Alligator mississippiensis: one gene and its partners. The protein of the gene in region 3 purifies or fractionates together with the protein of the main gene of each other region. This does not show direct contact. Links are inferred from orthologs where the notes say so. Each region holds a gene or a part of one and is shown on either strand. Other genes may lie near its edges.

Region 1 (7,984 bases), about 16 Mb from region 3:
AAAAAGGCTGAAGGAGCAAGCTGTAGGGAAAGCCTGAGAGCCAGCCCCCATCACCATAACTTGTGTAGCTGAACTACACGTGATATTTGACCAAAATCAAGAGGCTCATGATTTACCATACAGTTCATTGGGCTGGGCTCCACCAGAGTCAACAGAATTTAACTCGTCTGGGAGTTGCTGGTCCAGCAGCTCATCTGGTGCTTGCCTCCTTGTGCGGTGACTTCTGCCGCTGCTCTTGCTGTTCGTTCGGGATTGCATGGGGGGCAGGGGGGCATGAGCCACCAGATCTGCGCAGGGAGGGCTGGGGCCAGGGCTGTGCCAAGCTCTTCCTGGAGGGGCAGGGCTGCACTGGGAAAGGGGCTATAGGGTCGGGCTGCAGCCACAAATTCACTGTAGCCTCTTCCCAGCGCAGCCCCGCCCTGCCGGAAAGAGCTTGGCGCAACCCTGGCCCCAGCCTGCCCTGGCCTGCCCTGTGCAGAACCTGGGGCACATGCCCCCCTCCTCGCAGATGAGCAGCAGGAGCAGCAGCGGGAGCTGCTGAACAAGTAGGTGAGTGCTGGATGAGCCAGAACCCCCCCACCTCCCGGACTAACCGTGACTTTGTCCTGCACCTGCCCTGCCCCAGCTGGGCAGTGCTTGCCCCAGCCCCACGCCTCCCTCACCACGGGGACTTGATCTGCCCCCCCATGCCCCTCCCCCTGCTTCCACCACACCAGACTTACCATCTAGAGGCAGCTCTCCACGCTACCAGGCTAGGTATCGTAAATCGGATCAGTATCAGCCCATACAATTCCTTAAAAATCGGCTATCAGTATCAGTCCTAAAATTCTCTATCAGTGCAACCCTGCCTCCAAGGACTCTTCCTAATCCTGGACTCTTCCCCACCCCCACAACCCTATCTCCAAGGACTCTTCCTAATCCTTGACTCTTCACCCCCCCCACCCCACAATTGTATCCTGCATGTTATTTGTAACTGTATCTTTTCTAAACCATTTCCCTATTACAATGCAGTATTGTTGTGCAAGATCTCCTGTATATTCTCTGATTTATAAGCATCATGCACCCTCCATTCCTTTTCCCCTTCCCACACCCAGGCTTAGTTGGTTGCATGTTTCAAATGTAATTTAGTTGCATTAGTTGCATTTCCACCCCTATGTAGCCCCCAACTCAGGTAGTTCTATATTTCCTTGTGCTTTGAACATTGTTATTAGAACTTAAACATTTTCTAATAAATTACATTTTTTTGGCATCAAGGGGAGGGTGTAGGTCTGGCTCTGGTCCTCCTGGTCCTGGTCTGGCATTGCAGTACTTCCAGGCTCAGTGCCAGTACCTGTGGAGGGAACACCTGACCATGTTTTTAACAGCCACACACACAGAGCTCCCATTAGCATGTTTGCCCAATGTGGGCCACGTGCTTTATAGTCATGCTCAGTTTTAACTGCATTTAATCAACTTCATAGTTGTTTTTTATTGCACAGGTGCATGATGCAGTTATTGTAATGGGAATGAGAATGGTTTAACTGTAAAGGTGTTGTTTGGGCTGTTGAGTGAACCATATTGGTCACAAGACAGATTTGTAGAGATGGGGGGGTATATATATAATCATAGAATCATAGAACCAGAAGGGACCTGTAAGATCACCAAGCCCGGTCCCCTGCCACGTGCAGGAAGTTACTGGGCTCACACAGGCTCGTGTGTGTGTGTGTGTACACATATATATATATAAATCAGAATGCTTGCCCAGTGTGGGTCATGTGTTTTATAGTCATGCTTAGCATTGGCTGAATTCAATCAGCTTCATAGCTGGTTTCCATTACTGAGTATATGCTGCTTTGAGCAGAAGTTTAATGATAGACAATGTATTTAAGGAGGTTTCCTTCTATGTGAATATAAGCCAAGGGACATTTTTCCCCATGCTGATTGTGGGGGATGGGAGAAGGAACCTCATCTTATATTTAAGTAAATATGGTAATCCAAGTTCTTTCAGCCTTTCCTTATAAGTCATGCTTCTGCAGTCCTGTAATCAGTAGCATAACTAGGGTGGGGCAACTGGCACCACCTTGGGTTGGGGAACTGCTGCTGACAGCCATGTAATCGTGCTAGCAACAATGCAGCAGCTGGAAGTCACGGCAATCCCCAGGTGTTGCAGCTGCCCCAGGTGCTCAGCTGCATTGTTATGCCTCTGCCTGTAATCAATTTTGTCACTCTCTGCTGGACTCTTTCTTATTTGTCCGCACCTTTCTTGAAGTGCAGAGCCCAAAGCTAGACCAAGTACTCCAGGTAAGGCCTCACCTGTGCTGATTTAAGTGGCAGAATCGCTTCCCTTGAATACATAAAGACATCTACTTAAGGTTATACAAGAAACCTTAATATTAATATTCTCAAAGTTAGTGTGTTTGACTTGACCACCATAATAATGTTCTTAATGTATATTTTGTAAAAAGTAGTTCAAGTTTTTTTCTTTCTTTCTTTTTTTAAAAAAAGAACCCTTTCCTCCTCCCAACTCTTCATCCCATCATGGGAAACCATATGGACCCACAATATGGTGGGGGAGGTATGAGGCGGAGGCATCAACAGAGTTGAGGAACCTATATAGATCCATAGCATGGACCCACTTGAACTTGAATAATAGCAGTAATAGGATATCTTTTCCTCTATGTGGACTTGTCACAAGAATAAGGACAAGAAGTGCATTTTGTTAGCCATTTTCACACCTGTTTACTAGCAGAGGAGGAGTTAAATGGGATTCCTGCATTCAATTCCTGTTTTTATAGGTGATTGTATCTAGTGGTTACAGACCCTTCTGCCCCTGCACTTCTGGCCTGTTTTTGTCCATCTCTGCTCCTATCCTGTATTACCCTGACTTCTACCTGTAGCTATGCCTATTAATAAATCCCCTTGTCTTCACTTAGGCTCCACAAAGGCAAAGCCAGTTTTCTATATGAGAATACAAGGCAATTGCCTGCACTGTGGGAGATCCCCCAAGCTAAATTACCAATGCAAGTCATCCAATATGAGTAAAGCCAGCTCTGCACAGAGGCTCAGGGGTTTGTTTAGAGTTAGACCATCTAAAAAAATGAAGGTCTCAAAATAAAAACAAATTGTCTGCAGGGGCTATGATTTGTATCTACTAATTACCTTCCAATCTGATCTCTGTAAGGCAGACTTCTGCACTTGCGTGAAGTCCTGCTGACTTCAGCTAGGTTCAGGAAAACGGCAAGAGTCCACCATGCAACAATTTGCAGGACAGGGTCTATAACAGGGTTGGGCAAAATGTGGCCCGGGGGCCGGATGTGGCCCATCAGGCCATTCTATTCGGCCTGCGGGGCCCCTAAAAAATTTGGAAAATTAGTATTTATCTGCCCTGGGCTGCCTGTCATGCGGCTCTCAATGGCTTGCCAAAACTAATTGCCCGCCCTGATCTATAACTATATATCTGTTTCCTCTTTGTTATTGCCCAACTCAATTGCTTACACACTATCAACTCAAAAGGAAATCACTGCAAACTTTTAATTAAAGCAAATATTAAGTTAAAAGCAGATTCAGGCACTGCTCAGTCTAATATAGTTTTAAAATCACAGTTTAAACACTGCTTACTCCCAATGTTTAAAAGCCTTTAATTAGCCCTCCAAAACTAGGAGGTTGGGTTCTAAATCATGAAATTAAAGAATGTGCCTTCTGGTTTTCTTGTAGTACATCTGAATTGCCTTTTCAAGCTTTTCTCTGCAAATATGCTGGCTAGAATCATGCTGCTTTGAAAAATGAAATCTGAAATTTGCATGTCATAACTTGACTCCAGGAGCTGGATTTTTTAAAAAGATATTCTGAGACTTTCAATAAAATTCCAAGCATTTCTAATGTTGACTTTTTATTGTTTTTCTTCCCCTAGCCTAGTGTGAAAAGTACTTGGGAAAACAGGGGGGCTGCTGGCTATCCCAGGGAGCCAGCCTCACTGACCACACCATAGAAGGCATTATGCTGGTTCCTTTATTCCTGCTTTACAATCCTTGCCTCTGGTCCCCTTGCACATTTTTTTTCTTTTCTTAACCTGTTTAAGTATCTTTGGGTTCCTGTAATTTTTCCCATTAATGGAGGTATCTCAGGATTTTTCATTTTTGTTTCTTAAGCTTCCTAACAGTTTAGAGGGTTGCTTTAAAAAAAACAAAAAAAGTTCAGAGTTGCCACATGATGTTGCTGCCTCCCGAATCTGTGGTGCAAGTCCTCACTCCTAGCAGGAGCAGCCCAGGACTCATGTGTGGCACCTCCCACCAGGCTTGCAGAGCCAGCGCTGCATTCTGCTTCAGACAGCTCTGAAGAAAGCAAAATGCATTTGCTAAGGGGCAGAAAATAAAGAATGTGTATTTTGTGGGTTTAACCATCGTTTTCATTGTGAAAAGAGCTCCAAGGTTTCCTTCCTACTTTGATAATTTGAACAGTGTTTCTGGAGGGTTTTGAGGCCGCCCAAAAGTATGGCCGAGAAAACCAGTGAGAGCTCTGCTCTATCTTCCCCCCATCCCCTTGCTCTCCTGCTCCCTTCCACATGCAGTCATGTATCATCAGCAGGGAGCCTGGTTTTCTTTGATTAAAAAACAAAATCCCCAATTTTCAGATGAAAAAAGGTAACCCCAAATCCTCATTTTTCCATGATTAAAATGTAACACCATTAATATAGCTATCTATATCTATCTATACAGGGATAGTCGTGGATTTTGGGTTACTATTTTTAATCTGAAAATTGGAGATGTTTTTGTTTTGTTTTTACTCAAGAGAAAACCAAAGTCCCTAATCATCACGGTTTTCTCTTGAGAAAAAACAAAACACACGCACCCACGTTACCAGACCCGCCCCCAAATGGAGCTGCCTAGGCAAGGGCCGCTATGCCCTAGTGCGCATGCGCAGCTGGGGCAGCCTACCCACGCCCTGCTCCTCACGCCCTCCCGCCAACAGGGGCCGCTGTGGCCGTCCGCTGCGCCCAGGCCCACCCGGGCTGCGCCGCAGCCTGGCTGCGCCTCTCGCTGCTGCCGGCGGCGGGCGTGATGGCGGCAGCGGCGGGCGGGGAGCGGAGCAGCACCCGGGATCGGCTGCTGGCGGCGCTGGAGGACCTGGAGCTGCTGGCCAGGTACTGGTCGGGTGCTGCCAGCGGGCCGAGCGGGTCCGCCCCGCCCCCCTCCCCGGCAATCCGAAGCGCTTGCGCCGTGCGCTGACCCGCTGCTCGGGGCGCTGCGGGCGGATTGTCCCAGGCGGGGGAGAGCGAAGGGGGCTCCGCGCATGCGCTCTCCAGACCAAGGGGGGGGGGGGCTGTGTGCGCGCATGCGTCAAGCTGAGCGCGGGACCGGGGGCCCAGGGGTCGCGTGGCTCGGGCTGCGGCTCGAGGCCCGGTGTGGGGGGACACGCATTAGGGGCTGTGAGTTACACGGCCCGCGGGGGGGCGTCGGGTGGGATCGGGAATTGAAGTGGCGATTGGAAATGCATATGTATGTTTATACGTGTGTGTATACATATAAATGCATGTGCACGTGTATATAATGTACATGTGTACATCGTGTATAAATACATGCATATAAATACGTGTGTGTACGTCATGTGTAGCGTGCACACGCATGTGTATATATAAAAAGGAATTGGGCGCGCAGCTGTGCCCACTGCCTGGCTTCAGATGGACATGGCTTCAGCTGCCGCTCTGCTGGGGAATCAGACAGGTTTTGCTGCAGCAGTGACAAAGTCTGCGGGCTTGGAAATATGCTGAACAAGTTGGGTTAAAGATCTGGTGGCCATTCAGCTCTGTTAGAGTGCGGTGCTAATAACCCCAAAGTGCGAGGTTCAAGTCTCAGGCCGGGGGTTGGACTAGATCAGCGTTTCTCAACCCATGGGTAGTGACCCAAAAGTGGGTTACAAGAATATACCAAAAGGTCTTGAATAAACTTTAAAAGTAGATCAACACACTTTTAAAAAATGGATTCTCCTTTAAAGGAGAAAACCAGATGAAACCAGGGCTTTTCCCTTGCAGGCTGGCAATGCTCCAGCCTGTAGAGGGCTGCTGAGTGCCCTGCTGCCCTACACACCCACCTCCTGCCTCATATGGTAGGGGCAGAGGGCAGCAGATCAGGAGTGAGGGGCACTGGGTCAGGACTGGCCATCGATATTTACAAATGGGTCCTGGTACTAGATGACATCTCAAGGTCCCTTCTGGTCCTACTTCTATATGATTCTATCTCCCAGGCTGAGCTCTGTGCTGCTATGGTCAGGATGCTGCTGAAACAGGAAGGAGTTAGGTTACAGTTAGCTCGAATAGATCCATACCAGGGGTGTCAAAGTGGTGGCCTATGGGGCCCTGTCATCTGGCCATCAGTGCTGCCTGTGGGTCACAGACCAGTGCATGCTGTATGCAGCACACTGGTCCCAGCCCATCTGCCACAGACTGCATTTGGCACAGGGGCTGGAGCTGGTGTATACGCTGTGTGCAACATGGAGGGCCAGTGTGGGGTATGTGTTGCTTTCAGTGCCTGTTTCAAACCAGCTATGCACTGGACCTGGGGTTTGTGCACTTCAGGCCCAGGCCCACAGACTGGCTGTGCGTGCCAGACCTAGTGTGCAGGGCCGGTATGGCATGGGTACCAAATACAGTATGCACCCTGGATTGGCCTTGTGCGCTGTGTGCCACATGGGGCAGGGTTTAGCACATGCTGCACATGGCCTATGGAGACAGTCTGGGGCACGTGCTGAGTGCTATGCCTGTGTCAGACCTGCCCTACATGTTGGGTCCAGGTCCAGTTTGGATTGGGCCCACAGATTGACTCTCTGTGTCAGATCCAGCACACAAGGATGGTCTGGCATGGGCTTCACATGCAGTGCACACCCCAGGCTCTCTCTGTGTGTGCCATGTGTAGTGCATCTCCTAGACCAGCCCCACATGCCACATCTACTAAAACCCCAATCCTGTAATCTGCTTTTTGGGAAGTAGAGCCCATATCCATATGAAGTCCTTCGTTTGTGACTAAAGGTCTGTTTGTATGGATTAAACTGAGAATCCACAGTGTTCCTGTAATATTGCTGAAAAAAATAACATAACTTTTTGTTGTCATAGTATTGAAAAAATAAAGTATACTTAACATTACCTTTATGAAAAGATATACCAGATACCAAAAAATGGTTCTATAATGATTCTTCCAAACTTCATAAAGCATATATGAGCATTCGTATAAAATGTGACACAGATGTAATCTACTTGTTAAGAAATATTCAAGTTATGATTCATTTTATTTGGTTTATAGCTCAGACGTAAATTGATTCATGAAAACAGTGCAGTCAGCTAAGGATTGATCCAATGAATTTGCAGCTTGTGTGTAAGGTAGCTGCTTCTCCAAGTAACACAGTAAGATAATTACACTTTTCTGACAGTGGGAGCTTGAGGTATTTTAAGTGTCCATTACTTTATAGATAACTGATTTGACATTATTCCTTTTAACTGTCAGCATCCTACAATCTGTCTGGTATAGATTACACTTAATACATTTTTGGGTATTAGTTTAAATGGATTGTTTATGACACTGATCAGTTGCTTCACTTTCACTTGTATATATCCTCATGATATAAAAATAGCCATTATGACTGAGTCCAGAATAACCTGGACATTTGGTTTCCTGGGGACAAGTAGCAGGTGTGCTTCTGCTACTTGTATGTGCTGCTGTTACTTGTGCCTGGGGAACACCTGTGCCACACATGCTCTGGCGCACGGCAGGTTACCCTGGGTGGGATACAGGAGGCTGGGGCCAGCAACTGTGCTGGCCCCAGCAGCCTTACCAGGGGGCCGGGAAAGCTGCAGCCACGGTGCTTCTGTAGCTGGGAGCCTGGTCAGCCACCAGAGTATGGCTCTAGCAGGCCAGGTTCTGGTTTTGGGTGGTGCGCACTGCTACCACATGCACCACCCCAGTTTTTTTTCTGCACAGGTTTTTTTTTGACCCTGGCATTCCTGGGGTCAACTCCT
Region 2 (6,730 bases), on a different chromosome or scaffold from region 3:
GCGCTACAAAAGTAACAGGTCAGAAGCCTTAGGCACATTAGATTTAATGCCTAGGTTTTTAATGAAAAAATAGCCCTTGTGGTGGAGTGTGTGCATTTGAGAGTTTTCATTGCTAAAATTAAATATTTTATACTAAATACAAATCCCATGGAGCTGTAGGATAGGGTTTGATTTATAAATACTGAAAGAGAAAATGGGAAACCAATTGCAATCAAAATAAACCACTCTTGCAGTACTCTTATAATAAATCATCTCATCTTAGTTTTATAAATTGCTCTAATACTATAAATACCCAACCCCCATCCATTGTATTCACTCCAACACGTGCAACAGTTGGGCATTGCGATGCTTGACTTTCATGAAGCAATCAGACTGTGAGGTGTTTGACTGTATTCCTAACTGCAGATTTTAAAGTATTATGAAGTACACTTGCGGCTAAAAATCCTGATTTTTGTTTTGTTTTTTCTTTTTCTCTCTCTCCACCCCCAAAGAGCTTTTCCAAAACCCCAGATGTCAGGATGGAATCTTTTTTTTTTTAATAGCTTGAGAACATTGTTTTAAAACCTGGAACCTGAATATTACAGCATTCAAGAGCAACAAAAGTACAACTGTTGAAAAGGCATGCAAACATACGCTACTGGGGAAGCAGTATTACATAAGTTAAATGTCTTCAAACTTGGCATTGTATGCTCCCTGTTCTAGTATTAGTGTGTGTGCGTGTACACATACGCACTCTGGAGGGGCAGGAATGCTAATACAAACTTATGTTAAATGCCTTTCCTCATACTGCTTAGAATTTCATTTGAAAGAATTGCTTTTAAGCTGTTTTCAAACATCTTTTATTCACAGCTACCCTATAACAACAAATTACCCCAAACTGTCAATTATCAGAGTGACAAAACTAAATACCAAATAATTCCTGGCCCCTAGCTTTAATCTTGCAAGAGGTATTTTGTAAGAACAGTTTAAGGAGGCAGGTCATTATGACCCTGAACCAAAGTGGTCTGCAACACCCATGACTGCTTTTTATTCACATTAACCTTTTAGGGTCAATTTTCTCCAAGTGCACTAATGGTTTCAGCTGCTCAGCAAAGTTCCTCATATCATCAGAAACCATGTCCTGACCTGCTGGTGCCACTACACTCAGCTCTACAAGGTATGAGAGAGACAAGGGCTCTATACTTTCAGTGTTTCCTGGCATCAGGATGCGAAAGATCTTGTATACCACAATCTTCATGATGCCCTTGCGGAATACGTGGCCCTTGGCAACGAATTCATGGTCCATACGGAAGCCCATCTCCACCAGGAAGTCGGTCAGGTTCTCCGAGGTGGCAATATCTACGCAGTTACGGACCAGAGCATGGCGGTTTTTGTCTCCTATTTCTGGCTGGCCCAGGTAGCGCAAGTGCCAGGGCATGCCTGTTTTGTCCATCGAGCGCCGTGCCCTCAGCACAAAGGGGCTGGCTTGCTGCCCCTTGAGGAGAAACACCATCTCGTGATCGAGGAACGTCTCCGGTTCCATGTTGTCGCACAGGCCCCGCAGCCGATGGAGGAGACTCTCTAGGCTTTGATCCAGAACGCTCCCTGGAGAAGACAGACCGGAAACGTCACTGCTCACCAGTTCACGAACACCCATGCCCTTTCCTCTCCTCTATTGGCACAAGATTGCCCAGAAACCCCTCCTCCACCCCGGCTTCACAAGGGAGCAGTCTGTTGCCTTGAGGTTTAAAACACCAGGCTCTTTTTTCCTGAAAGCAGCAGGGAACTTAATTACTTGAAGAAATAAAGGTGCACAGTGTCAGCGCTGGCCCTGCCAGCTTTTGTTAGTCTGGCCGTCCAAGGCCGCCTGTCCCGTCCCCCGCCGGTTACATACATCGCGCAATTAATGGCTCAACTACGCAATACATGTAGCCTGCCCGTCTCTCTGAGCCCAGGCCCTGCCCACCTCGTGCACTGCCTGAGCACTGTGCCAACCCGCAGCCGGTTTCTTCCCAGCTGGAAGGCGGGGGCTCGGGCCGCCCCAGGCAGCGCGGGCCGGGGCTGGGCTCACCTTGGAGCAGGTACTCCATCATGTTGATGGTGCCGCCCGTGACGGGCATCATGGTGACCGGCGGCGCCTCCATGCTGCCCGGCCACCTAGCTCGGCTGTGGGGGGGCAGAGGTAGTCGCTCGACAGCTCGGGCAGGGCGCATGCGCACACTCGGCCGAGGATGGGGGTGGGAGGGTTCCAAGCGCGTCCAAACCTGGTGCGCATGCGCCGCCGTCTCCGCGCCAATGGGAGGCGGCGGGGGCGGAGTCCGGGGGTGGGGTTCTCCGGCCGGGGGCGGGGCCTGTCCTGCGCCGCCCGCGAGCCCTAGGGAAGCTGCCAGCTGGGAGGCGGGCGCCTGGTGACTCGCGCGCTCCTGGGGGCGGGGCCATGTCACCTCGCCGTTATTCAGCATCCGGAGGCCAACCGCCGCGGGCCCTCGGCCCTGCCCCCACGGCCGCTGCTGCCCAATCCGGGTACGCGCGGTTCGCGCCCTTCAGCCAGTAACCCCCGCCCTGTCTGCCCCGCCAGCGCAGGGTCCTGACATTTCTTCCTACCTCATCCGCTTAAGCTCGTGCCCTGGGCACGCCGCTGTTTTGTGAACCCCGCCAAGGGCCCTGGCAGCCGGCAAAGCTGCAGCGCCCGCCTCGCGCTGCCCGCCCCCACCTCCGTGCCCTGCAAAATCGTCGATTTCACCAGAAAAAGTGTCTGAGAGAGAGAAATAACCCGGGAGCAACCAGAGTTAAATGTCTCCCGAGAGAGTTTCTCTTGGGACACCAAACTTCCCTACACTTCTCCTGAGCAACGCCTCTGTAGTTCAACTCCTGATTTACAAATGTTTTCATGCTGAGGAAGAGCACCGCGCCCCCCAACGCCTGTCCAGCTTCCTCTCAACCAAGCAGGTGGTCCAATAAAAGAGGCTGCCCTGGGAAATCCTTGCCTCTTCACTTCACCTTTTCAGTCAGACGGATTTGCAATTGGGGCCCTTCTCTAGTTATCTCAGCTGCCCTTCCCACTGATGCCGTTTCGTTTCAGTCCTTTTTTTCTTCGTTTTTATTTGAACAAACCTAATGAGCTTACAACCAGCTCAGGTTTCGCAGCACAGTACCACACCTGTGCCATGCCTCATTTTGAGTGTCCTAACACAACTGGTTACATTGAACAGAAATTGATTACAACATACTATATTTATGCTATTATTTCTGCTTACCTTTCTGTCTGTTGTAGCTTCTGTAGGCCTCTGTCTTCTCCTGTTTCTAACAGAAGCCTGTAACAAAACTTAGCTTAAATGGATATCTTCAGGAAGAGTGGCCCACAGTTGTACCAATTCCCATGTCTTTTGTTATCTAGAAATTTTGTTTTAGACTCCAATTGCAGATTTTTTCAATTTCTTGGTGGATGGACAATCTAAAATTGATGATAGACAATGAATGTTTGTCTCCATAAAGTTATTTTCATGGATGACTAATGCTTTGCTTTGTTATTAAATGTAATGGTTTCACTTAGCTTATACTAATGTGTATAAGGAAGACAGCTCATACCAGTGGTGACATGTACATGCACCCCCTGAGAGCGCTGGTGCACCCCCTGACAGGCAGCACTCCCCGCTTAGGCAATGGGCAGGGGGGCAGGCGGGAGCGCTGGTGTGCCCCCTGCAAGCACCAGCTGGGTAGTGGGGGTGCCAGGAGAGGCGCTGCTGGCATTTCCAGGAGCACCGCTCATGTTTCCCAGTCAGTGCAATAGGCTGCTGGGGGACCCACCATGGTTACTGACTGGCCGCTGACTCAGGAGGCACCAGTTGCCCATAGCTCATACTCTGCTGTCTATTATGGCATGTCTATCCTGTTTACTGTAGTCAAATGTGGGATACAAATCGATTGTCTTGGCCTGTGAAAGTAATTGAAACCTCTGGCCATATTAATTCCTTCTTTCTTAAGCCAAGGTTGGAAAATGTACTTTGATCTATGGTCTAGATCCAGCAAAGGATTTTGGCAAAACTGAGGCATCTAAATTAAAAATTTGGATCTAAAATACCACTGCTCAGTTGCCACCTAACTCTGAAAGCAACTAAACACCTGCTTGATAGTCACATTTCCTCTACACTCTTGTGCACGCCTAGAACTGCTCATCTCAGTTCAGTGCTGTTCTTCACCTAAACCTTCTCATGGTCCAGAAACTAGTCATTGGCTCTGCCTAGCATGATTTGCTCTGCGTTCTCAGAGCTTGTAAAACAAGCACCAAGCAGGCTAGGATCCCTCACAAAATGAGCACTTTAAAACAGTTGGATGAGGCGGCATGATGCTGGTATCTGTCTTTTACATTGTAGCCCAGATAACTGGGCTGTATACTCCCCTTCTCCAATTGAAGGGGATTGTTAGCTGGCAGGTGTGCTGTGGGGTGGGAACTGCAGACCGCTCAGTTTCCCTCCGTCCCTATAGAACCAGGCCAGGACAGTCAGGGGACATAACTGTATACAAATGTATTTACATTAACTTATCACAAGGGAAAGGAACATGGATATAAACATATGTACAATGTATATATATATATATATATATATATATAAGATATCTAAACCAGTGACATAAACAATACCCTCTGGGTAAATGACATAAAACCTTATACCAGTGCTCCAGATACAGGTAAGTCATTGGTAAGTATCTGATCTGAAACAAATAAACCTCAAAGATAATCCCGAGGGGATACCCCAATGCCCTTGGGCTTTTCCCAAGCCCTACAAAGAAGCTGGTAACTTTAGGGGGGCCATCTCAGTGGGACCTCCCCTTTTAGGAGGCCTTAACTAACCAGGGGAAGACTCCCCTCCCCTGTGGTAATCCTCTTTTCCTTGCAACTCACGGCTCCCAGGCCTGCAGGGTGGTCCTCGTCCTCTGCGCTAGGCTGCTCTCTCGCCTGCAGTGGGCTTCAGTGGGGGTCGCTGTCCCCTGGAACAGGGCTCCGCTACGCAGGGCTTCTGGGGCCTCTGGCTTGGCCCTGTCGGCTGGCTCAGTAGCCCAATCACCGTCTGGCTCTTTGGACTCAACCTTTTGCTATGGGTCGGAGGCCTGGGCTGCTTCGTGCAGCACCAGGCTCAGTCCGCTCCCAGACCCTCCATGCAGCGCCTCCTGCACCAAGCTCCCAGCCTCATTTCGAGGGTTGAGGACCTGAGCCGCCCAAGCGCTCCAAAGGTCCTACTCCATGCACCGGCCTGTGTACCGTGTCTCTGGCCACGCACCAGAGGTTGCAGACCTGAGCCGCCTCACGCAGCTCCCAGGATCTGGACGCCATGTTGCTGTGCTGCACCCCGAAAGCCTAGCTGCTGGAGCCGTTCCTGCTAATGGAAGTCTTCAGGGGCACTTCTGGGCTGCTGCTTTGCCCTCCTGAGCAGCTCTCCTCAGCTCTTCTAAGCCCCGCCCTTCTCTCTCTCCTGGAGGTGCTCCCCTCATGCTGGGCATGCAGCTCCTTTTGTATGCTCCAGGACTCCACCCCTGAAGTCTTCCAGACTTGAGTGTTGCAGTCTTCAATCAGGTCCACAACAGGGGTGCATTGGGGGGGAACGACTCCTCTCTCCCTCCCCTCAGGAAAAGGGCGTGACTGAACTCCTCTGACTGCCTCCTGATTGGGGGATGAGTTCAACCAATCAAAACAGCAAGATTTCAAGCCTGGGACTCAACCCAAGCTCCAAAACGCAAGCCTGCTACAACATTAATATTCTAGGATGCCTGTAGACATTTGGAAATGCTACTCCGATGCACTGTAATTACAGCACATTGGAGCAGACTTGATTAATTGAGTCTGCTGGAGTAATTATAGGCCAGTAATTCTGGCAAGTAATAGTAGACCAGCCAGTCTCACCTCCATCCTTGGAAAGTTCTTTGAAAAGATTATGAAGGATCATATTTGTGGGAGTCCAGTGGGAAAAATAATGCAACAGGGCAACCAGCATGTATTCATAGCAGGTAGATCATGCCTAACCAATCTGGTTTCATTTTATGACAGGGTCACAAAACGCTTAGACGCAGGAGTAGAGTGGATGTCATTTTCTTGGATTTTAGGAAGGCCTTCGATACGGTATCTCATCCTATTCTCACAAATAAATTAAAAGGCTGTGACATAGATGTTTACACAGTCCAACAGGTGGCAAATTGGCTTAGCAGTCGCACACAGGAGAGTGGTAATAGACAGGTCAGTATCGAACTGGAAGGATGTGGGTAGTGGGGTCCTGCAGGGTTCGGTCCTTGGACCTGTACTCTTCAATGTCTTCATCAGTGACTTGGATGTGGGTGTGACGTGTACTCTGTCCAAGTTTGCGGACGATAATAAATTGTGGTGTGAAGTGCACAATCCGGAGGGTAGGGAACGATTGCAGACGGACCTGGATAGGTTAGAAAAGTGGACAGTACACAATAGGATGCAGTACAACAAGGACAAATGCAGAGTGCTTGCACCTAGGGTGCAAAAATATCCAGCACATCTACTGGCTGGGAAGTGACCCTCTCAGCAGCACAGAAGCGGAAAGAGATCTCAGAGTCATAGTGGACTCCAAGATGAACATGAGTCATCAGTGTGACGAAATCATTAGCAAAGCTAAGTGCACTTTATCATGCATCAGCAGATGCATGACAAATAGAACCAAAGAGGTGATACTTCCCCCCTATGCGGCATTGGTCAGACCGCAGTTGGAGTACTGTGTCTAGTTTTGGGCGC
Region 3 (7,431 bases):
GCAGTTACCACATGCTTCAAATAAACAGGCCTTTTCGTGAGAGGAAGGATGGAGAACGAGAGAAGAGGCAACAATAGAACAAGCCAGAATATGTATAAGCAGCATGTTGCCAAATGGCTTGCTGTTTTCCTCCGCAGGCTGGAAATTTTAGATTGTGTATATATTCATGAACAGTACGAAAATTGTTTTAAAAACCATGTTTGCATAGATAACTTTTTAAATGTGCATTTATTTTGAGTCCCATTTTAGAACAAACGTATTAGACAAAGTAAGAGCTAGCAGTAACTAGATTTAGACAGACTACAAAAGTGGGCAGATGAGAATAGGATGGGGTTCAACGTAGACAAATGCAGGGTGCTGCAGCTTGGGAGAAGGAATCCACAGCATACATACAGGCTGGGGAGTTCCCTTCTTGAAAGCACAGAGGCGGGAAGGGATCTTGGAGTCATTATTGATTCCAAGATGAACATGAGCCGCCAATGACAGACTGCAGCCAGCAAGGCCAGCCATACCTTGTCATGCATCCGAAGGTGCATCTCAAGCCAGTCCAGAGAGGTGATCCTCCCCCTCTAAGCAACTTTAGTCAGGCCGCAGTTGGAGTACTGCGTCCAGTACTGGGCACTGCACTTCAAAAGGGATGTGGCCAGCCTGGAGAGGGTTCAGAGCAGGACCACCCACTTGGTGAGAGGGCAGCAGGACAAGCCCTATGAGAAGAGACTGAGGGATCTGAACCCGTTCAGCCTCAGCAAGGAGGCTGAGGGGGGACCTGGTGGCTGCCTACAAGCTCATCAGGGGGGATCAACAGCAAATAGGCAAAGCTCTTTTCTCCCCAGCACCACCTGGGGTGACAAGGAACAATGGTCATAAGCTGATGGAAAATAGGTTTAGGTTAGAGATCAGAAGGCAATATTTTACAGTTAGGGTGGCCAAAAGCTGGAACAAACTTCCCAAGGAGGTGGTCCTTGCCCCTATCTTGGGCAAATTCAAGAGGAGGTTGGATGATCACTTGTCTGGGGTCTTGTGAACCCAGCATTCATTCCTGCCTGTGGCAGGGGGTCAGACTAGATGATCTGTTCAGGTCCCTCCTGACCCTAGCTACTATGAAACTATGAAACTCCAGACACTGCTCTGTTAAGTATCATCATGCAGACTGATGATTCTGCTAAAAATGTTTGAATTCATGCATCATAAGTACTATCAAATTCTGAGTTCTTTTATACACTGCAGAGGTCTGCTACACTTAATAACTACAGAGAAAAGGAGTCTGAAAAGTGTGTGTTAATTACTGTTACCTTTTAATGTGTTAAACTTTTTTGTTCCCCTCAAATGCATGTGAAATTAATAAACGTTTTCTAAACAATATATATCCCAAATTATGGAATGGCTTTAGCTTACTGCTTTACTACTTCAAATACAGTATTTCACCTGTATTTTCCCCATGCCTATCAAGATATTGCTTTGCTTCTGGACTCAAAACATTTCAAGTCATTGTCATAGCAGAAAGCTCATCACGTATTCCTTACCTTTACTGAAATCTATAGGACAACCTATGCCAATGAAGTTATACATATACATGCTTGGAGGATTGAGACAATAATACTGAATTGTAAAAATCTTTATTCACACAGTTGAAAATTAGTCACCTAAGCAATAACTGTTCTTGTGAGCTGTTCAGGTTTGCAGAGCTGGGTTTTTAATTTATAAAGGAAGCACACACACGCACACACTAGCTGGCCCATCCCAGCAAACAAATAGAGACTGGAATGGTTATGCTAAAGATCAATCTGAGTATGTTTAAAATATCTTTAAATAGAGAAGTTTGTGCAAAACTGCATTTATATGTAATAATGGAAAGCACATCTATGTAACATCAGAAGTACATAAAGCCTAGCTAAATATATCATTCATAATTGACAGACTTCTTTACAAATCTCTTCCATTTACTGAATTACAAATATTTGCCACTTGAAAATGCTGAAATGACCCAGCATTACCTTCATGGGAAGGTGATTAGTAACATTTTAAGGTTACTGGGGAAGGGGTTCATCAAGGAGAAATAAATGGAGTAAGCAAACTAAAACACTGCTAAAACATTGGAGTAGGCAGAACAATGTGCTCTGTGCTTCCCATTTCTCCTGCTCCCCAAGTTCCATTGTGGAAAAAGTGATGCTTTGTTGTGGGTTAGTAAAACCTTACACAACAGCTTGGCCCCCTTCTTTTTCCAAGGATCTGTGCAAAACCCTGCATCTCCTGTGCTACAAACTGGCCACAGAAACAGATCCTCATTCCAAACGGTTGCCAAACCCCCTACAGGGCCGAGAGAGAGTTCAGCCACTAGAGCAATCCGCAACAACACCCAAAATGGTGACTCGAAGTAATAAATCAGACACAAACCCACTACTGGGGGAGGGGGCAGGGGGGGCTCCTATCCCACCCTACACAAACCAAAGGCTGGCCAGGCTGAGGCTTTTCTAAACCCGGACACTCATTTGTTCACCAGCAAAGTCGCCAAGTTAAACAGGATAGAGACAAAGATGGAGATACACCGGAGTACGATGCACACGCAGACAGACTTTTTTATCAAACCCCACCACAGAAAACACGCCTGGGGACAAAAAAAGCCAGCGGTGCCAAGACAGGGAACGAGAATGAGGGCAAAGAGAAGGGGAAGGGTCCGAGGTGAAGGGCGACAGGTGAGGGGCTACAGAGCAGCCAAAGGAAGAAGCGGGTGGGGGCCGGGGATGAGGGGAGCCCAGGCCGAGCTAGGGCAAGAGCAGGGGCCACCACGGGCCGGACAGCGACAGGCGCGCCCGGACGGATGTGGCCGAGGCCGGCGGGCGGTGGCTCGGGGGACAGGGCCACAAGGAAGAGGCCGAGGGGCGAGCGGGCAGGGAACTCACCCGTCTTTCCGCTTGGCTTTGTAGACGTGCCCGTAGGTGCCTCGCCCCACCTTGCAGCCCTCGTACTCGAACAGGTCCTCCACCCGCTCGCGCTCCCCGGTCAGCTTCACCTTGAAGTCATAGTCCATCTTCAGCGCCCGGCGCCGCCCCGCCGGCAGCCCCCGCCACCCGCCCCCCGCCCGCGCCGCGCAGCGCCGCCCCCGCCGGACCCCGCCGGCTCTGGGGAGCTGGAGCAGCAGGAGGAGGCCCCGCGGCAGCGACGCGGACCATGCAGGGGGAGCCGGCGGGCGCTGCTCCCTCCCCGCTCGCGCCCCCGCCGCGCCTCAGCCGGGTAGCGGCACCACAGCCGGTATCGCCACCGGAATACGGCGGCCGCGCCTGACCGCACTGCCGCAAAAGCGTCGCACGGGCGCGCTCCGCCCCCCCGCCGCCTCCCGGCTCCTGGCGCACCACGTGGAATCCAGCCGGCTGCGGCGACCCCCACTACAGCTCCCGGCGTGCCCTGCGCCACAGCACTGACGTGAGCTGTGCACTTTGCATGCCGGGAGTGGTAGTGCAGGGGGGTAGATGAGCGCCGCGCTTGGCTATGGTCGAGGCCGCGCGGGGCCTGCCGGGAGGTGTAGTCCGTAGGGTGAATGGTGGGGAGTACGAGACGGTGAGGAGGAGATGCCGCGGAACCTGGTGGCCGCGGCGCGCTGCATGCTGGGAGCTGTGGTCCGTGGGCGGGGACCGCGCTCAGCGCGGCATGGCGGGATTCGTAGTCAGCGAGGAGGGGAGGGGGCTTTCTGTCCCGCCCCGCCCCGCCCCGTCCCGTCGGGGACCTCGCACCTCCAGGTCTCGGGGTTGTGGGGTGATAAGCAGTAGCGTCTTCCAGTGCGGGGATTTAAGATTAAGGTACAGTTTAGGGCCTTGCAATATGAGGGGCTTCTAAATAAGAAAGGAGTCTGGACATTTTCGTTCTAATATGACAAAAATATACATCTATATGGCTACACAGTTATTAATAGTCAGTTCATAAATTTGTGCAGAAAAAACAATAATTCATCTTAAGATTTCATGACAGTCCACTTTTGTGGATTTCATGGATTGTTTTTATCATATGGGGCCTCTTAAAATGGACATAGTTTAAGGCTTCAGCATGTCATAATCTGGGAGCACTGGGTTCACCTCAGAAAGCCCCACCATAAACACATGGGAGACTGTGGGGAGCTGTAAGGTCATTGCCCCTCCTAGCAGCCCTGGCCTACCCAGCCCTTCCCTCCACCTCACAGGCACCTCAGCCCCCTGGTGCTCTGGGAGGGGGGCAGCAGCACTGGGCACAAGTGGCACAGAGTTAAACAGTAGGAGTTAGCCCACACAATCGGGGTATGAATTAAGGCGGAGCTGGAGGGGTGGCAGGGCTGAGCACCCCCCCCTCCCCAGTAAGAGACATGAGCCCCCTGTAAGATTTGAAAATCATAACCAGGGGGGCGCGACTGGATTGCTCCTTCACTTAGGTGAACTTGCTAATCAATGAACCGTTTGGGGTTTTTTTGCAGACCCCCACCCCTCCAAGAGTCAAAATATAATTCGAACTCTGCTCAGGATGCCTCACGTGACCCTTTTGTCAGCGATTCTCAACCAGGGGACCATGGAGCCCTTGAGACCCTTTCAAGGGTGCTGTGGAGTGCCACACAATGTTAACGCTGTGAGATGTGTAAACACAATTCACAAGATAAACCCAAAGATTTCAAATAGGAGTCCATAGCATCAAGAGCGTTCTGCCCTGTTGTGGCCTTTCTGAGTTCTGTGCAACAGAAGACTTGTTCTCACTATTTTTCTGTAGTCAAAAAACAAGTAAAAACTAAGAGCTCACATTTTGTGAGGGATGTCTCAAATCTAATGAGTTCTAGAACTGCTGGTGTAGACACAGGGGTCATCATGCGTCACTTCCTACCAAGTGGTTCTGCCTACTGCTGTGTTTCCAGCAAAGTTTATCAAGAACAACTGAGGTGATTGTGGTCCTTGTCTGCATAGTCCTTAAGAATATCATTTTAATCAATGTGATTTTGCAAGGCTAAATTCTAACAATCCAAGTTTCTCCTGAGTTCAAGTCACCTGCCTGTGAATGCAGAGGTATATTTGGATCCCTGGACACCATGATCCAATGATCATGATCTCAATCAGAGAAATGTAAGAGGTATGCTTGTTGAAAAATCTGTACATTTGGCTAATAAGGGATGACTTTCTGATTCCCTACTCAGGTTCATAAATATTTTCATCCAGGCCAGCCTGGCTGTAGAGTAGGGTTCTAGCAAGCAGGAATAAGGAGTCCAAAATCTGGCAAATCAGCACTAGAAACATCCCTGCCTCTCACATGGCATTTCTACTGGTCATGCACAGGCATGGTTCTCCCAGTTTCATTTTCAGTAAATGATGCTGGTGATAGCATACCTGAATTCTAGAGAGTTGACAGCACTAGGGCTCATAAAAATGTAGAACTTCTGAAAGTTTCTAAACCTCCTTCAGTTTTAATTGTTGTAAGCATGAAGATAGATTTCTGAAAATGGAGCTGTGAAGGGAAAAAAGGAAAATAATTGTTTGCTGCAGAAGAACACAAAAACGGAGAAGAATGTAAAATCAAGAGTAGCTTTCAGGGAGCCTGCATAATGTTTTACATCTTCACACTAAGCCACCTGAAAAATCTTTCATAATTTGCTAAACATCTTATAAGTCGAAGACAAAGCCACAATAAAAACAAAAGTATTATTTTCTCTTAGAGATGTTGGTCAGTTTTTAAGGAAGTTTAGCAGACTGTCTTTTTCCAAATGTGCCTCTTTCATTAGGTTTTCATGACACTTGGAATATTTACAATCCAGATCCAATGTCACTATAATCTTCGGTCTCTTTACTCTAGTTTCTAGTCCAGATCCTTATTAGGGGTAACACCTAGTATTAGCAATTCAAATGTATGCTTGCACAGTTGTAAAAGCTGGCTTAGAAAGAAAATGTCAATCTTTTTTATGAAATTAAATCATTAAAAACATTTCCATTGATGTTTTAGAATCAGCCTACACTTTTATTTCAATTAATAAATTTAATTGAGAGAGTGAATATTTTGTACTCATTTATTTCAGAAATCTGTCAACATGCAAAAGACTTCTATCGATGGCAAAAAGTTTTAGCTCCATTATTTAAAAGGAGACAGCACCACTTCTCCTAAAAGACAAGCGGTGCTTTATATTAAAGAATAAATGCTCTTTTTCTTGTGTATTGGCACTTCCAAGTTTTTTGTTTCTTTTCATCCTGTGCTGCTTCAGACTCAACAAAGTCAACAAAGCATTAAATATCTGCCTAAAAGTTTTGCCAAATTCAGGGCTTCAGACCTTTCTTTCACTTTTCCTCCTACTCCATCCTTTGCCATTCTTCATAGCCTCCTTGCCAACAGCGTGTTATTCCATCCCTGTGCTGTATTATAGCTCCATACTGTGATCTTCTTTGAGAACCTAACACCTGTAAATACTATCCGTATAGAAGTCATTATTTTTAACTCTGTTTGAGTTCATATAAATGGAGACAGGTACTAACGTGAACAGTGTCTGCTGTGAAAGCAGGGAGATCGAGGAGAGTTCATATCTCTAAATGTCTCTGAATACAGAGTTGTATTTACAAATAAATCCTGCAATGTCCAAGGGAGCTATAGGAATAAGCACATGCTAACTGTTAGAAGAGGACGCTAAACAAAGAAGGTCTGTGTTACCTGATCTGTAACAGCACAATACATGTGAATCTGGAAGCAAAGCTGAAGATTTGCTGTGTTTATTTGTATACTAATATCTGAAACAAAAGTACTGTACCAAGCTGCTTTCTGAAAGCACAGCTTAAGTTTGGGACATGGGTGTTTATACAGCAAGTTACTTGCTCTGTGCTTGGCAGTTTTCACAGCTGAAGAAAAAATAACTCATGGCAGCCACTTCAAGAAGTGTAAAACTGCCTTTCTACTTTGGAAAAACACTACTCATGCTTGGTTTCATTAATCAAACTTTTTGCCAACTTGATGCACTCAGAGCCCAGTAGGTCTTCCAATCTCTGTCTTCTTCACTGGACTTTTCTGCTGATTTTTTCTGTGATTAATATATATGGGCTAGCTTGTAAATTCTTTACATTGATGAAAATCTACCAACATGAGGGCTCCCATTTAAATCAATGGGACACTCAGGAGAGTAACTGCTCACCAGTGAAAAGTGTTCCTCAGGAAAAGATTGAGGGGAACAAAAGGGAATTTTAGCCTAGGTATTCAGGGCAGCCTGAACTGATTGATATTTTTTCTTAATAGGTCACAAACGGCTATTAGTTCCCTCTTTAAATTAAGGTTGTACTTTGGTTATATTATCCACATTTAAAATATGGAAATATTACAAAACACAGCCAAAATCCTAAATTTAGTTGTTGCAATGGGACATGTGGGTGTTGGGCAGAGATGAAGCCCTGACTTCAGGGCTAGGGGCAGAAGTTACACATAAACCATTTTAAGTGATCAGAAATTGGTTTA

Evidence for each region.
Region 1: the proteins of CDK8 (region 3) and MED4 purify together in Homo sapiens (affinity purification with mass spectrometry; 9 studies listed by BioGRID and IntAct, counting the BioPlex papers as one, with this or other methods). This does not show direct contact. The link is inferred for Alligator mississippiensis from reciprocal best matches to the Homo sapiens genes CDK8 and MED4.
Region 2: the proteins of CDK8 (region 3) and MED18 purify together in Homo sapiens (affinity purification with mass spectrometry; 5 studies listed by BioGRID and IntAct, counting the BioPlex papers as one, with this or other methods). This does not show direct contact. The link is inferred for Alligator mississippiensis from reciprocal best matches to the Homo sapiens genes CDK8 and MED18.

What each region holds. Positions count from the first base shown.
Region 1 is NC_081824.1:413,318,934-413,326,917, reverse strand, and holds the start of MED4 (mediator of RNA polymerase II transcription subunit 4), read left to right. Parts: upstream 1-4,971; 5' UTR 4,972-5,036; coding exon 5,037-5,119; intron 5,120-7,984. UniProt on the Homo sapiens protein: Component of the Mediator complex, a coactivator involved in the regulated transcription of nearly all RNA polymerase II-dependent genes.
Region 2 is NC_081826.1:254,262,289-254,269,018, reverse strand, and holds MED18 (mediator of RNA polymerase II transcription subunit 18), read right to left. Parts: upstream 2,203-6,730; 5' UTR 2,193-2,202; coding exon 2,051-2,192; intron 1,585-2,050; coding exon 1,031-1,584; 3' UTR 514-1,030; downstream 1-513. UniProt on the Homo sapiens protein: Component of the Mediator complex, a coactivator involved in the regulated transcription of nearly all RNA polymerase II-dependent genes.
Region 3 is NC_081824.1:429,551,235-429,558,665, forward strand, and holds the start of CDK8 (cyclin-dependent kinase 8), read right to left. Parts: upstream 3,067-7,431; 5' UTR 3,029-3,066; coding exon 2,901-3,028; intron 1-2,900.